Linked DNA regions of Tamandua tetradactyla. The protein of the gene in region 1 interacts with the protein of each later gene in a biochemical or structural test. Links are inferred from orthologs where the notes say so. Each region holds a gene or a part of one and is shown on either strand. Other genes may lie near its edges. The genes, in order: GTF2I and USF1.

Region 1 (7,643 bases):
AGAGTAAGGACAATTGTGGACGCATTCTTTAAAAGCAGAATAAAATAGGAAATATATATAAAATAGGAATTATGTACTTGTGCCCCAAAATTCTGATCCTTTTCTTTATAAAGATATAGTAAATAAAACACTGTAATGTACAAACTCCTATTCTCAGTAAACATCAAATATTACATATAATTCAAAGTTAACACTTATAAAATAAGTGATTGCTTAAGATATCAGCAAATTAAAAATTGAAATTAAATGTAAAATACTTAAACATAGATAAGTTAAGAACATTCTCAAACAATTGTAATAAAATGACTGACTTTCTGACAAGCAGTGGGGACAACCAAAGCAATAGGTTGAGCCTCCAATCTTGGGGTTCATTCATTTGAAACTTAACCAGCAAAGGATAAGCTAAGTCTACTTAAAATTAGGCCTAATAATCACCCCCAAGAGAACCTCTTTTGTTGCTCAGATGTGGCCTCTCTCTCTCAGCCAACACAACAAGCAAACTCACTGCCCTCCCCATGTCTACATGGGACATGACTCCCAGGGGTGTGGACCTTCCTGGCAATGTGGGACAGAAATCCTAGAATGAGCTGGGACTCAGCATCAAGGGAGGGAGAAAACCTTCTCCACCAAAAGGGGGAAAAGTGAAATGAGACAAAATAAAGTGTGAATGGCTGAGAGATTCCAAAGAGTTGAGAGGTTATCCCAGAAGTTATTCTTATGCATTAAATAGATATCACCTTTTTAGTTAAGGTGTAATGGAAAGGCTGGAGGGAACTGCCTGAAAATGCAAAGCTGTGTTCCAGTAGCCATGTTTCTTGAAGATGATTGTATAATGATATAGCTTTCACAATGTGACTGTGTGATTGTGAAAACTTTGTCTGATGCTCCTTTTATCTACCTTATCGACAGATGAGTAAAACATACGGATTGAAAATAAATAAATAATAGGGGAAACAAATGTAAAAATAAATTTAGTAGATTGAAATGCTAGTGATCAATGAAAGGAAGGATATGGTATGTATGAATTTTTTGGTTTTCTTTTTATTTCTTTTTCTGAATTGATGCAAATGTTCTAAGAAATGATTATGATGATGAATATAAGAATATGTGATGATATTGTGAGTTATGTATTATATAACAAAAATGGAATGATCATATGGTAAGAATGTTTGTATGTGGTTATGCTTCATAAATAAATTTAAAAATTAAAAAAAAAGATAGACTTCAATCTACGTATTTTCCAAGAAAAAAAAAAAAGAATTCTTATTAAAACAGCAAAACAAATATAAAATTATGTTTTAAGCACAAGCCCAGTCCTATCCAACTATGGAATGAACATCTTATATAATTGTAAGGCTGTCTCACCATTGACTCAAGAGCAGACATGAGGAACGTCACCACCATCCTGCTCTCCGAAGACTCCTCATCTTCAACAGGCAGGGTAGACATTGCTACTTGGGCCATGATCCCTATGCAAGATAAGTAATAAGTGAATGGTAGAATCCACAGTATTCCTCTAAAATCAAGTCTAGCTCTAACAGTCTTCTATATATTACCTAATTTACAGTTTCCTTATGTAAGAGCAAAAATAAGGCTCAAAAACTAAGTATTTAATTGCTCAAGATTCTTACCCTCTAAGGTAGAGGATCTGTCCCCTAACTTTCCATATCTAGTATTATTTCCATGAAATCAGATCAGTACTGCCCCTCAAAATGAATCCAAATGCACATATAGGACCAGTTCATATTTTACCCAATTAAGTGGAAGAAAAGGTGATGCACTTTACAATCCGGTGATGGTCTAGCATATCTTAACAGAGGAAACAAACGCAAAGTCCCCTTTCTCCAGGGTACACGCTGGGAGAATAGCTAAGGTAGATAAAGAGAATTTATCTACCAAGTAAAGAACATTTCTCCTGTTCTTTCTTTCCAGGAAGGAAATAGCTTTGCAGGGCATCAAATAACATCTAAGATCCCTTTATAATATAGCATTTTATTCTCCTTAGAAAACATTTTCCAATACTTTGGTATCAGCAAGCAGACTTGGATAAATTTCAAACACGATGAAAATATACCACATAAAACCACTAACTGGCAAAAATTCAAAGCAAAATTTTTAGAAATTCTTTATATACTCAAAAAAAGTTATTTTCTCATGAATAAAATACAAAGTAAACACCTGTTAAAAAATTATCCCACTCAATTTATCTGGATGAATCCTACCTGCTAGCAAAATAAAAATATGAAAGGATGATTAAAAAATTAAGGATGAATAGGAATTCTAAAAACATATCTATGTATATAAATTAACTTACTGTTATCCCCTTAGCTAAAGCCACAATATTCCAGAGAACACAAACAAGCCATGAAGAGCTATGAGCATGCAAACTGTTATGATTAAATATTTAAGTAAATATTTTCTCTATTATAAAGATAACTGCCTAGGTTCCACTCTTTTCTTTTGTATAAATGTCTAAATAAATTCATACTGAAAAGTGGCTTAGGCAAAAAGGACAGCAAAGGCGTATTAATTTCCAATAAACAGAACGATCCCTTAAGATTATACTCTACCATTATCTCTTAAAACTCACAGTATTTTTTCATAATCACTTTTCCCATGATTCCCAAGGGAGAAGAAAAGGAGATGTGTTCTCATTTTACAAATGCAATGACTTCTAAAGGATATGTAGCCACCGCCAGAGCTAGAACACAAAGATGATTTTTCTGCCAATTGTTGCTTTCAATTCTTCTCACCTTAAGTTGCCATGATATTATGATGTCATTCACAAGCAATCTGTGGTAAGAAGTGGGAGAGAAGGTCCACACTAACAGACCATGGGCATACCACAGATGATTAGAGGTCACTGTGAGAACTTTTCAGTATTTTTGATGGAAAGAATCCTAAGAAGGACCAACTCCAGTCAGGCTTAATGAGGAAGGGTGCATTTTGCTTGCGGCTTTCTGCTCTCTGGAAATGGATGCACTTATATTCATTACAAGAGATGTATGGAGAACATATTTACAAATATTTATATAAATATGTATAGATATGGCTGTTTCTACCCTCCTCTTCTTTTCTCAAAAAGGACTGACAAAGGGCAGACCAAGCCAGGCTGAGCATGCAGCACCTGCAGCAAGAGGCATGATGCTTACTCCTTGCATGGAATCAAAGCCAGGAGAGCCAGGTTGAGTGTTATCAGGTCACTCATCAGCCACTTGACCTCAGTGGGCTATATATGGTCAGGCTCCTCCTCTGTAAACTCCTCTGTAAATGGAAACTAATTTTGCCGGTTCCTTTTACCTCTGATCTTTTATGAATCCCTTCAATTTAAAGTCAAAAGAAGAATTGGACAGAAAAAAAACAATTTTTTTTTAATATACCTATCATACCAGTACTCTTCCAACTGTCTAATTCAATACTCACAACAACCCTATAGGGGAGACCTTTTATTTATATTATGAGGACACTGAGAGGTGGAGGAGCTTGCCTCTGGTCTGTCTCTCAACTGTTTTACTTTCTTTTAGAAAAGCAAAATGAAATATACATAAGGACTCAAAAAGGGAAAAGATGTTCCATAAGTTACTTTAGCAGGATCCATGTATAGTCTTTTTCAGGTATTCCCTAAAAGGTGTTGTGTGTGTTATTAGAAATAAACAGCAAAAATCACTAAAATGGAAGAACCTTGAAAACATACCCAGTGAAACAAGTAATATACATAAAGACAAATTGTATATTATCATCTATAGGAGATGACTAGAAATAAGGGGAGAAGGGAGGAGTAAAAATAAAAAGTATAAAATAAATTTTAAAATGGTGTTTTGAAATTAAAAAAAAAAAATCACCAAGATATGACTTGTCATATTACACCATGTCTAAACTCAGAGGTTTCTTAATAAAAGAGGCCATGAAACCAAAAATTTAGAGCATTAAATGGGATGATTAGATCCAAATTTACACAAAATGAAATTGGGAGTTTGTACATCCAAACCTTGTCAGTATGAGTTCTTTGAAACAGAAAGGAAAATTACCAAAATGATCTTGTATTAGAGCTGAAGGGATACAGACTGTGCAACAGGACTGAATATAAAAACTCAGAAATGGACAGCACAATACTACCTAACTATAATACAATTACATTAAAACACTGAATGAAGCTGCATGTGAGAATGGTAGATGGAGGAGGGTTGGGAGCATAAATGAAATCAGAAAGAAAGATAGACGTTAAAGATTGAGATGGTATAATCTAGGAATGCCTAGAGTGTATAATAATAGTGACCAAATGTACAAATTTTAAAAATGTTTTTGCATGAGGAAGAACAAAGGAATGTCATTACTGCAGGGTGCTGAAAATAGATGCTAATTAATATTTTAAAATCTCACCTTATGTGTGAGACAAAAGCAAAAAATGTTTAATTGGTATAAAATTTATATTTTGACCAGTGCATTTCCTAATATAACTTATGTAGACACAGCTTGATTGAACACTATAAGTACTTGGAATCTCAGGTAGGACATGAGATTTTGTTGGTTTGTCCAGAGTGATGCCCCGATGAATCCCAAAGTGATCCAATCAGTGAGTGGAAAAGTATTTGCAAAGTCCCCTTCAGGGAATGGTGAGAACGGGGACCAATTCAACTTCCCCAAGTTGAATTCTTGGTATTCTCACAAGCGGTGTGGACAACCAAAGCTATAGGCTGAGCCTCCAGTCTTGGGGTTTGTTTATATGAAACTTAACCCCACACAGGATAGGTCAAGTCTACTTAAAATTTAGGCCTAAGAGTCACCCCCAAGAGAGCCTCTTTTGTTGCTCAGATGTGGCCTCTCTCTCCAGCCAACACAACAAGCAAACTCACCACCCTCCCCCTGTCTACGTGGGACATGATTCCAGGGGTGTGGACCTTCCTGGCAACATTGGAGAGAAATCCTAGAATGAGCTGAGTGAGACTCAGCATCAAAGGATTGAGAAAACCTTCTCGACCAAAAGGAGGAAGAGTGAAATGAGACAAAGTGTCAATGGCTGAGAGATTACAAACAGAGTGGAGAGGTTATCCTGGAGCTTATTCTTACACATTAAGTAGATATCATCTTATTATTCAAGATGTAATGGAGAGCAGCGGACCCGCCCGCCCTCCTCTCCCCTTTTGTCCACCGGCCCGCCGCGCGGCGCCGACGCCCCGCAGCAGCGGACCCGCCCGCCCTCCTCTCCCCTCTTCCGCCTTCACCGGCTCCTCCGCCACCAGCCTCGACAGCCTTGCCACCCTCACCTTTCCTCCTCCAGAACAGCTACTGGGGGAGTGAGATAATACAGAGCAGCTCCCAGAGCCACGAGGGAGATCAAAGGAACGGCGTACCCCATCCTGGAACGGCTGACTATCTGGGAGAACCAGCTCCGGTGAGATCACCAAGGGGCACGGGCTTTCCTGGGTGGGACGGCAAGCGACCGGAGTCCCTCCCTTCCACCTTCCCAGGCCAGCTGATAGAATTGGACAGGCGGTCCCCTTAGGCCGAGGCGGCTGGTGCCCCCACCACGCGAGGCCCCCCGGACCAACTGAGAGAGCTGGGTCGGAAATCCCCAGACTGCGGAGAACAGTGACCGGGGGATCCCTTCCAAACACGTGACTCCCCTGTCCGGCTGGGAACAGTGCACTCTCCCAGGCTGCGACAGCTGGCGCCCTCCCGCCATGCTTGGCGCCCCGGGCCGACTAGCTAATTCGGCCGGACGCTCTCCCGTGCTGCGGCGGCTGGCGACCCTCCCCGCATTCGGAACCCCAGGCCGGCTGGCACTCTTCCAAGACGCTTCGGCTGCCGAACCTCCCCTACAGCGAGAATTTTCCAGAGTTAAAGAACCCACAGCAACTTTCACTGGTGGAACCCGTAGACAAACGTATGCCACGAGCGCCACCTACTGGGCAGGATAAGAAAAACAGAACCCAGAGATTGCACAGAAAAATCTTTCAACCTGTGGGGTCGAACACCCAGGGAAATCTGACTAAATGCCCAGACGCCAGCAGAAGATAACGGATCACGCTCAGAAAATTGAACATATGGCCCAGTCAAACGAACAAACCAATAGTTCAAATGAGATACAGGAGCTGAAACAACTAATGCTGAATATACGAACAGAAATGGAAAACCTCTTCAAAAACGAAATCAATAAATTGAGGGAGGACATGAAGAAGACATGGGCTGAACATAAAGAAGAAATAGAAAAACTGAAAAAACAAATCACAGAACTTATGGAAGTGAAGGATAAAGTAGAAAAGATGGAAAAAACAATGGATACCTACAATGACAGATTTAAAGAGACAGAAGATAGAATTAGTGATTTGGAGGATGAAACATCTGAATTCCAAAAAGAAACAGAAACTATCCAGAAAAGAATGGAAAAATTTGAACAAGGTATCAGGGAACTCAAGGACAATGTGAACCGTACAAATATACGTGTAGTGGGTGTCCCAGAAGGAGAAGAGAAGGGAAAAGGAGGAGAAAAACTAATGGAAGAAATTATCACTGAAAATTTCCCAACTCTTATGAAAGACCTAAAATTACGGATCCAAGAAGTGCAGCGCACCCTAAAGAGATTAGACACAAATAGGCGTTCCCCAAGACACTTACTAGTTAGAATGTCAGAGGTCAAAGAGAAAGAGAGGATCTTGAAAGCAGCAAGAGAAAAACAATCTGTCACATACAAGGGAAACCCAATAAGACTATGTGTAGATTTCTCAGCAGAAACCACGGAAGCTATAAGACAGTGGGATGATATATTTAAGTTACTAAAAGAGAAAAACCGCCAGCCAAGACTCCTATATCCAGCAAAATTGTCCTTCAAAAATGAGGGAGAAATTAAAACATTCTCAGACAAAAAGTCACTGAGAGAATTTGTGACCAAGAGACCAGCTCTGCAAGAAATACTAAAGGAAGCACTAGAGTCAGAACCGAAAAGACAGAAGAGAGAGACATGGAGAAAAGTGTAGAAAGAAGGAAAGTCAGATATGATATATATAATACAAAAGGCAAAATGGTAGAGGAAAATATTATCCAAACAGTAATAACTCTAAATGTTAATGGACTGAATTCCCCAATCAAAAGACATAGACTGGCAGAATGGATTAAAAAACAGGATCCTTCTATATGCTGTCTACAGGAAACACATCTTAGACCCAAAGATAAACATAGGTTGAAAGTGAAAGGTTGGGAAAAGATATTTCATGCAAATAACAACCAGAAAAGAGCAGGAGTGGCTATACTAATATCCAACAAATTAGACTTCAAATGTAAAACAGTTAAAAGAGACAAAGAAGGACACTATATACTATTAAAAGGAACAATTAAGCAAGAAGACATAACAATCATAAATATTTACGCACCGAACCAGAATGCCCCAAAATACGTGAGGAATACACTGCAAACACTGAAAAGGGAAATAGACACATATACCATAATAGTTGGAGACTTCAATTCACCACTCTCATCAATGAACAGAACATCTAGACAGAGGATCAATAAGGAAATAGAGAATCTGAATATTACTATAAATGAGCTTGACTTAACAGACACTTATAGGACATACATCCCACAACAGCAGGATACACCTTTTTTTCAAGTGCTCATGGATCATTCTCAAAGATAGACCATATGCTGGG
Region 2 (7,117 bases), on another chromosome or scaffold:
CTTATATAATAGGGTTGTTTTGAGGGGAAAACAAGATATGCATTGTAAAATGTATAGCATGGTGCTTAGCACCTGGCAGGTGCTGAATAAAAGGAGGCTACAAGCCAAGAGTTAGGGATATTGATCTAAGAGGATCAGCTATGCGGAATGTCTGTGCTGGGAGCACTGGGCCTATACTCTATCAGTGCTAGAAAGACTCATGTGGAAAGGGTCAAGGCTGGCCTGGCCCTTTGGATTTCTGGGACTACCTCTCTCTCAACAGATGAGAAGTCAGAGGCAAGTTCAGCCCCTGGTTCCCTGGCTGACTCTGGCCAAGCAGAAGTGGCCCCTGCCCTGGAAGACTCCCTGTCCCAGGAGGTGCAGGATTCCTTCTCCTTCCTAGAGGACTCAAGCAGCTCAGATCCTGAGTGGGTGGGGGTGGAGGATGGGGAGGTGACCAAGGCAGGAGCGGCAGGAGCAGCTTTCTCTCCTGTGGAGGACGATCCTGGGATGGGCTACCTGGAGGAGCTCCTGGGAATTGGGCCTCAGGTAAGATGGAGGTGTGCTGGGTTTTGGGGTGGTATGGGATCTGGAGGGTGGATAGGGTCGCCCAGTCCTGAGCTACAACACCATGTCTACAGGTGGAGGAGTTCTCTGTGGAACCACCCCTTGATGATCTGTCTCTGGATGAGGGACAGTTTGTTCTGGCTCCCAGCTGCTGTTCCCTGGACCTGGCTAGCCCCAGGCCTGATGCAGAGGAGGAAGGTGGGGAGGAAGTCTTCCTGAGTGCCTACGATGACCTAGATCCCCTTATGGGACCCAAATCCTCAAACTGGGAGGGTCCAGGGAATCTGGAAGAAGAGGCAGCAGGGTGCAGAAGATGGTCTCCAGGACAGGTTGAGGGAGAGCAGGTGTGTACGGAAGTTGGGGAGGACAAGGAGTCTGAGCCTGGAAGCAGATGGGATGTTAGGGAGGAGGCTGAGGGATGTCCACAGACTGAGGAAGGGGCTGGAGTGGCTGGTGAGGAAGGAGCAGAGGCTAAGGGAGACCAAGACATGATGGTCAGTTTGAGAGATGGGAGTGGGGAAGAGACAGAGGCCAAGGGAGAGAAGTCCAAAAGTCAGATGGATGCTGAGAATGAGGCTAAAGGTGTGGAAGAATCAGGAGAGGAGCATGGTAAAGACAAGGAGAAGGAAAGAGAGAATGAGAGAGAGGAAGAGACTGATGGAGGAGGGGAAGTCCAGGCAGAAGTTGAACAGGACCCAGAACATGGGACCCAGGAACACCAAGTTGCTGAGGAGAGCTGGGAAGTTATACATGAACAAGAGGCTGAGGGAGGCAGGGAGGATGAGGTCAAAGGACAGAGAGGGAAGGGGGGTCAAGAGGCAATAGAAGATCAAGGAAATGGTGAAGACAGAAGCCCAGAAGACGCAGCTGGAGGAGGAGCAGGGGTAGTGAGCAAGGAACGGGAGAGTGGAGATGGGGAAGCTGAGGGAGACCAGAGAGCTGAAGGTGACCATATAGAAAAGGGTTCTTTCCCTGAAGGGTCAGTCATAGAGTGCTTGGAGGTCGACAGTAACAAAGAGGGCAACGCTCAGGCCTCTGAGGGGGAACAGGCAACTCCACAACCACCCCGGCCAGAAGAGATGGAACCTGAGGGGCATCCCAGTTCAGACAGCTGCAATCTGTGCCTCTGTACCCTTGACTCAGTCAGTGGTGTGGGCATGCGTCTGGCTTCCACCCTCGTTCAGGTCCAACAGGTCCGCTCTGTGCCTGTGGTGCCCCCCAAACCACAGTTTGCCAAGAAACCCAGTGCACTGTGTAGCAAGATCCATGTGGCACCTGCAAACCCATGTCCAAGGCCTGGCCGGCTTGATGGGACTCCTGGGGAAAGAGTTTGGGGGTCTCGAGCCTCCCGCTCCTCCTGGAGGAATGGGGGTAGTCTTTCCTTTGATGCTGCTGTGGCCCTGGCCCGGGACCGCCAAAGAACTGAGGCTCAGGGAGTTCAGCGGACCCAGACCTATACTGGGGGCGGGGACTATAGCTTCATTCCCAGAACCTTTCCCTGTAGCATGACCCCAGCCCATTCTCCTCGGCCCCTTAGCTGCCTGGAGCTCCAACCTGAAGGTACAGAAGGATCTGGACCCCGGAGTCGACTTAGTCTGCCCCCCACAGAACTCCAGCCCCCTGACTCCCTTATGCCCCCCCAGCGCCGATCGTATGCATTCGAAACACATGCTGACCCTGGAAAAGTGAGGGACTGTGATTAGGACCAAAGCACTGGGTAAAGGGGACCAGTCAGTTGTTTTGAATCTCCAGGCCCCCTGAACAGCTGTCTCTTCTGCAGCCTGAGCAGCTGTAGTACCCAACTCTATAGGCTTTGGCTCTCCAGCTTCTCTTTTTGACTCTGGGAGGCTGCAGCCTTGATTGATTTACCTGAGCTTGTCTCAGATAGAAAGCACTTATCTCTTAGGAGATTCCTAAGAAATCTTGTTTCTAGAGAGAGCAGTCATTGACAAAGAGAACAGAGGGTGGGCTGAGAGCTTAAGATAGAGATTTCTCAAAGTAAAGAGTAGAAGGGGAATTTCAACCATGTTCCTGCCCTCCTCTGAGGCTGTGATGTCCTTTATGGAAGCCCAGGGTGGAAGGGAGAAGAAAAGGCCAGGTCAGAGCCTACCTCACACAAACACTTCTAGAGATGCCCAGCCCTGGACTGTTATTGGATCCTTGGATACATTCTGACCTTCTGAGCTTCAGATTGCCAGGAATGTGTCAGGAAGCTCTTTGGATGCCTCAAAATTTGTTGGGGGGACTGACCCCTTCCTGGTCCCCCCACCACCCTCTGCCTTCAGTCACCTTTGGGAAGAAGGGTCCTGTAGCTATCTCTCTGGCCTCTCCTTTTCCCTTTGGAATAGCCTCCTCCTATCTCAGGATAGAAGTCACTCAGGTTCTAGGACTGCTTTTCCAAACAGGCTGAGGCTACAGGTCTCACTCTAGTAAGATGCAAAGTTTCGGAATAAAAGTTGTATTTTTACACATAAATAGTGTGGTATTTCATTATGCTTATTAAAGTCTTGGGTTGTAGGTATCATCTTTTCATGTTTGGGCAAACATCTCTTTTTATTGTTTGGGTGTTCTTCCTTAGTTGTTGTCATGGGGATCTGTGGCTAGAAACTAGAGCTGGGTTCACAGTGGTCAGGAAAGGGGGAAGAGAAACTGACATTTACATAATTTTCAATATGTGCTAGAAACTGGGATAGGTCTTCTATGTGCATAGAGTCTACGTCCTTCATTTTATTTAACTCATGTAACAATTCTGTAAGGTTAGTACTGATACCTACATTTAAGGGAGCAAGGGGCCAAGGCTCACTTAAGTTAAAAGGCCAGCCAAGGATCTCAGAGGTAAGACGTGGCAGGCGGGGGGTGGGTTTGAGGCCCAGGGTTGTGGAGCCCCACAGCCTGTTCTTTTCATTGTACCACATTACTACAAATCCATTAAGGGTAGATCCTGACTGGGGAGAATAGGAATTAACATCCCTCCCACAGACACCGAAGATTGGGGTCTGTGGGTGAGGTGCGGTTGATGCTAATGGCAAGGAGTACATCCGACAGCTTTCCTAAATTCCACTAGAAAACACTTAAAAGAGATGTCCCGGTCCAAGATGGCCTCCCACATAGCCCTTATTAAAGATGGCGCCTCCAGCTGACGTCCCTTCCGAGTTAACCTGGGCTCCCTCAACCCCTTTTCTCCTGGGATTAAAAAAGCCCTGCCCAGCACAAAAATGGCAGTTCAAGTTAGTCATTTTTCTCCGCTTCCTGCTCTCCTGCTGAAAGCCACTAGGAACTCCACTGTCATTATACTGGGACAGCAGCAGTTGGTTCTCCTCCGCTCCAGCAATACCCCACCACCTCGGCATTCCTCAACCTGCATCAAGATGGGGCTAACGGAAGTGGGGCGGCTCCATGGCTATAAGCAGGCAGGGCGGGTCGAGAGAGACACTTCCGCCCCTCACCAATATGGCCGCGGGTTGGGAACGCGCATGAGCAGCTGTCTATGGAGCTACCCGGGTCTGGGGTGGGGAGAACACCGTCCGGGAAAAGCAGCGGCTGAGGCGGCTTTGGCCGGTGAGTGCAGGACCGGATGCGAGTCTGGAGAGTGATGAACCGGCAGAGCTGAGCAGCTTTAATTTGTTTTAGTTTTTTTAGGTTAGGGAACTCCTGTGGAGGGAGCCTTTGTTTTGGGGGAGGGGGCCGCGCCTGATTCTTTATCTCCTACCCCCTTAGTGGGCCGAACTCGTTCCCCGCCCCGCGCGCGCTCGCCCCCGCCCTCCTGCGGTCCTCGGCCGTCGATCGCGGCAGGGGGCGCCGGGCCACCGAGGGTCCCCGAACCGCTGGCGCCCTTTGCTCCCTCTACCGCGGGCTGAGCGCGGCGGGGCTGGCGGGGTCAAGGCGCGGGCTCCCGGCTTAGTGCCCTGCTCCGTCGGCGCCTGCCGGTTGGTGGGCCTGCAGGGAGACGTCGCATTCCCAGGCAAAGTCTAGGCGTCTGTCTTCTTTCGGGACTTCATTTTTTTTCCCCTTTTGTGTCCAGATTTAGCAAGGGCTCTGGCTGGTCCCTCCTCGCCTGAGTGTGCAGGCTACAACATCCTATCCCAATTTCCGTGTCGCACATCCCTAAGGCTCAATAAATACTTTTCTGATGTCCAACTGAGATTCAACTAAGTAGCCTGACCCCGTTGCTCGGTGTCCTCAGGTGCTACACCTGGCTGACAGCTGTGGATAATAGGGATGCCTCCCTATTCCTTGCTCTCTCTTTCTTTACCTCCTTCTGCAGTCAGCGCTGCAAGCCTCGGGAGGGGCATTTCTTCCTTGCTTTTAGGATGGAGAGGCAGGTGGTCCTGAAACACTACTGCTACTTCCCCTTAGGGACTGGAATCTCCTTGCAGTGTTACTTCCTCTGGCAGTTTCACTTTCAGTTCCTTTTTTTAAAAAATACTTTCTTTGGAACGGGCTTTCCAAGGCTTATCCAAGAATGAAGATTTTCCTTGGCTAGGGAAGGGTTTAGGGTTTGGGGTTTGGGGGAGCATAGGGAGAGAGAGTTTATAAAAATCTTACCTGTTTTGTGTTGGGATTATTTTATTGCTTTGTAAAACGATGCTAATTCTCTCTGGAGGTATCTGTCTGCTCAACCCTTTGTTCTTCCTGTCCTCTGACTGTCAAGGTCCAAAGGCAGGCATCTTATGTTATAGACTGAATCATGTCCCCCACAAAGAGATGTTCAAATCCTAATCCCTGGTTCTGTGGATGTGAACTCATTTGTAAGTAGGATATTCGAAGATGTTATTAGTTATGGTGAGGCCAAATTGAATCAGGGTGGGCCTTATCCATTATGACTGGAACCCTCATAAGCAGAGGAAGTTTGGCCACAGTCAGTAGTAGGAGACAGAAGGAGATAGATGGCCACGTGACAGAGGCAGAGACTGAGTTAAGGATTACCAGCAAACTATCACCAGGATGCTCCAGACTTCAGAGAAAGCCTGATCCTGCCAACACCTTGAGTTTAGACTTTTAGGCTCCAAATCTGTGAGACAATAAATTCCTGTTGTTTAAGCCAACCAGTGTGTGGTATTTGTTATGGTAGCCTTGGCAAGCTAAAACAACTTGTGAATGGATTCTTCCCCCACTGTCTCTTCTCCTTCAGAACCCTGAGCCTGGAATTTTCTCATTCTTATTGAGGCTCAGTTGATTTGGAGTTGTCATGGCAACATGTTAGCAAATGTGTTTGGCAGGAAGCCTTGGTGAATAAAACCACAGGGGCTTAAAGAGGCTGCACTTGGGCTTTAGGGTCTCTAACAGGTGACATAAATCTGGACATCCCCAAACGAGAGCCCTGTCAACAAAATAGGGCCTGAGGGCCAAGTCTGGTCTTTGTGGTTAGCGATGTGTTTGCAGTGGCAGTGGGCTTTGGTTTTCCCCTCCATAGAATCAAGAATAGAGATTTCTTGGTATTCAGAATGTGGCTGAGAAGCTGGAAGAAGCATCAGTGTCATGGCCCTGTGGTCTTTGCTGGTGTTGGTCTAACATGGGTCTTCATAATCCCCATGAAGCTGCTGTCATATCAGATCATATGACTATAATAATCCAATCAGATATGTTATTTCTCAGTCTTCCAGTCCAATTATCCCCTCTCCAGATAGAGTTGGAGTGATAATAGAGGGCAAAGCACATCGTTTTTAGAGTGGCTTTTTCACCCACTTTAGCCCAATTCTAGGTATCAAAATGGCAGAGACTGATTGGATTATATTCTTGGCTGTGTTTTCATGGGGCCCAGGTTCTAGAACTAGGGGTGCTTTTCAGTTTCCTAGACTCATTGCAAACTCCCTGATTTCTCCCAGGACTTAGCACACAGGGCTGTGAGGCAGGAGATACGAAGACCTCAAGAGAAGGACCAGGTCCTCGGATGTGCCCCCTCACAGAGAGATGAAGGGGTGAGTCAAGAAGAAGTAGACTGGTACAGGAGGGAGGTGGCTTGGGAGAATGGTAATATGGCTAAGAGAATTTGCTCTGGAGTCACACCTGGATTCAGGTTCCAGCTCCATCACTTCTAGTTGTGTGATTTGGTTTCTCCGTGTATAAAATGGAGGTAGTGCTGCCTACCTCATAGGGGTGTTCCTAGTATTAAATGAGATAGTGCATGTTAAGTGCTTAGCTCAGTGCCTGGGTCCATATTAAACACTCAGTAAGTATTAGCTGTTGTTATTCCAATCTAATCTAGCATCTGTTGGGAATGCCACTGAGTTTGGGAGCCATATGTTACTGGATCAGTGAGCTTCCCATTCATTTCTTTCCTCATCCCTCCTTTTGTCCCTTATTCACAAATAGGCAGCAGAAAACAGCTGAAACAGAAGAGGGGACAGTGCAGATTCAGGAAGGTGAGTGGTAACAACAGATTTGAGAGCATATCATGGCCTCCCCCGTGGCCCATCTCTTGTGCACTCTCCTCCTTCTAAATGACATGCATGTGGAACAGAGGGATAAGGGCAGTAGCTCATAAACCTTTCTTTTGCTCTTTTAATTCAGGTGCAGTGGCAACTGGGGAGGACCCAACCAGTGTGGCTATTGCCAGCATCCAGTCAGCTGC

The links.
Region 2: the proteins of GTF2I (region 1) and USF1 form a complex in vitro, tested with the Homo sapiens proteins (2 studies listed by BioGRID). The link is inferred for Tamandua tetradactyla from reciprocal best matches to the Homo sapiens genes GTF2I and USF1.

Annotation. Positions count from the first base shown.
Region 1 is NC_135349.1:12,201,253-12,208,895, reverse strand, and holds the start of GTF2I (general transcription factor II-I), read right to left. Parts: upstream 3,054-7,643; 5' UTR 2,619-3,053; coding exon 2,591-2,618; intron 1,470-2,590; coding exon 1,366-1,469; intron 1-1,365. UniProt on the Homo sapiens protein: Interacts with the basal transcription machinery by coordinating the formation of a multiprotein complex at the C-FOS promoter, and linking specific signal responsive activator complexes.
Region 2 is NC_135330.1:14,191,054-14,198,170, reverse strand, and holds the start of USF1 (upstream stimulatory factor 1), read left to right. Parts: upstream 1-3,969; 5' UTR 3,970-4,104; intron 4,105-5,077; exon of another isoform or gene 5,078-5,832; intron 5,833-6,371; 5' UTR 6,372-6,456; coding exon 6,457-6,464; intron 6,465-6,858; coding exon 6,859-6,908; intron 6,909-7,056; coding exon 7,057-7,117. Other genes in the region: ARHGAP30 (rho GTPase-activating protein 30), read left to right, coding at 263-528, 621-2,249.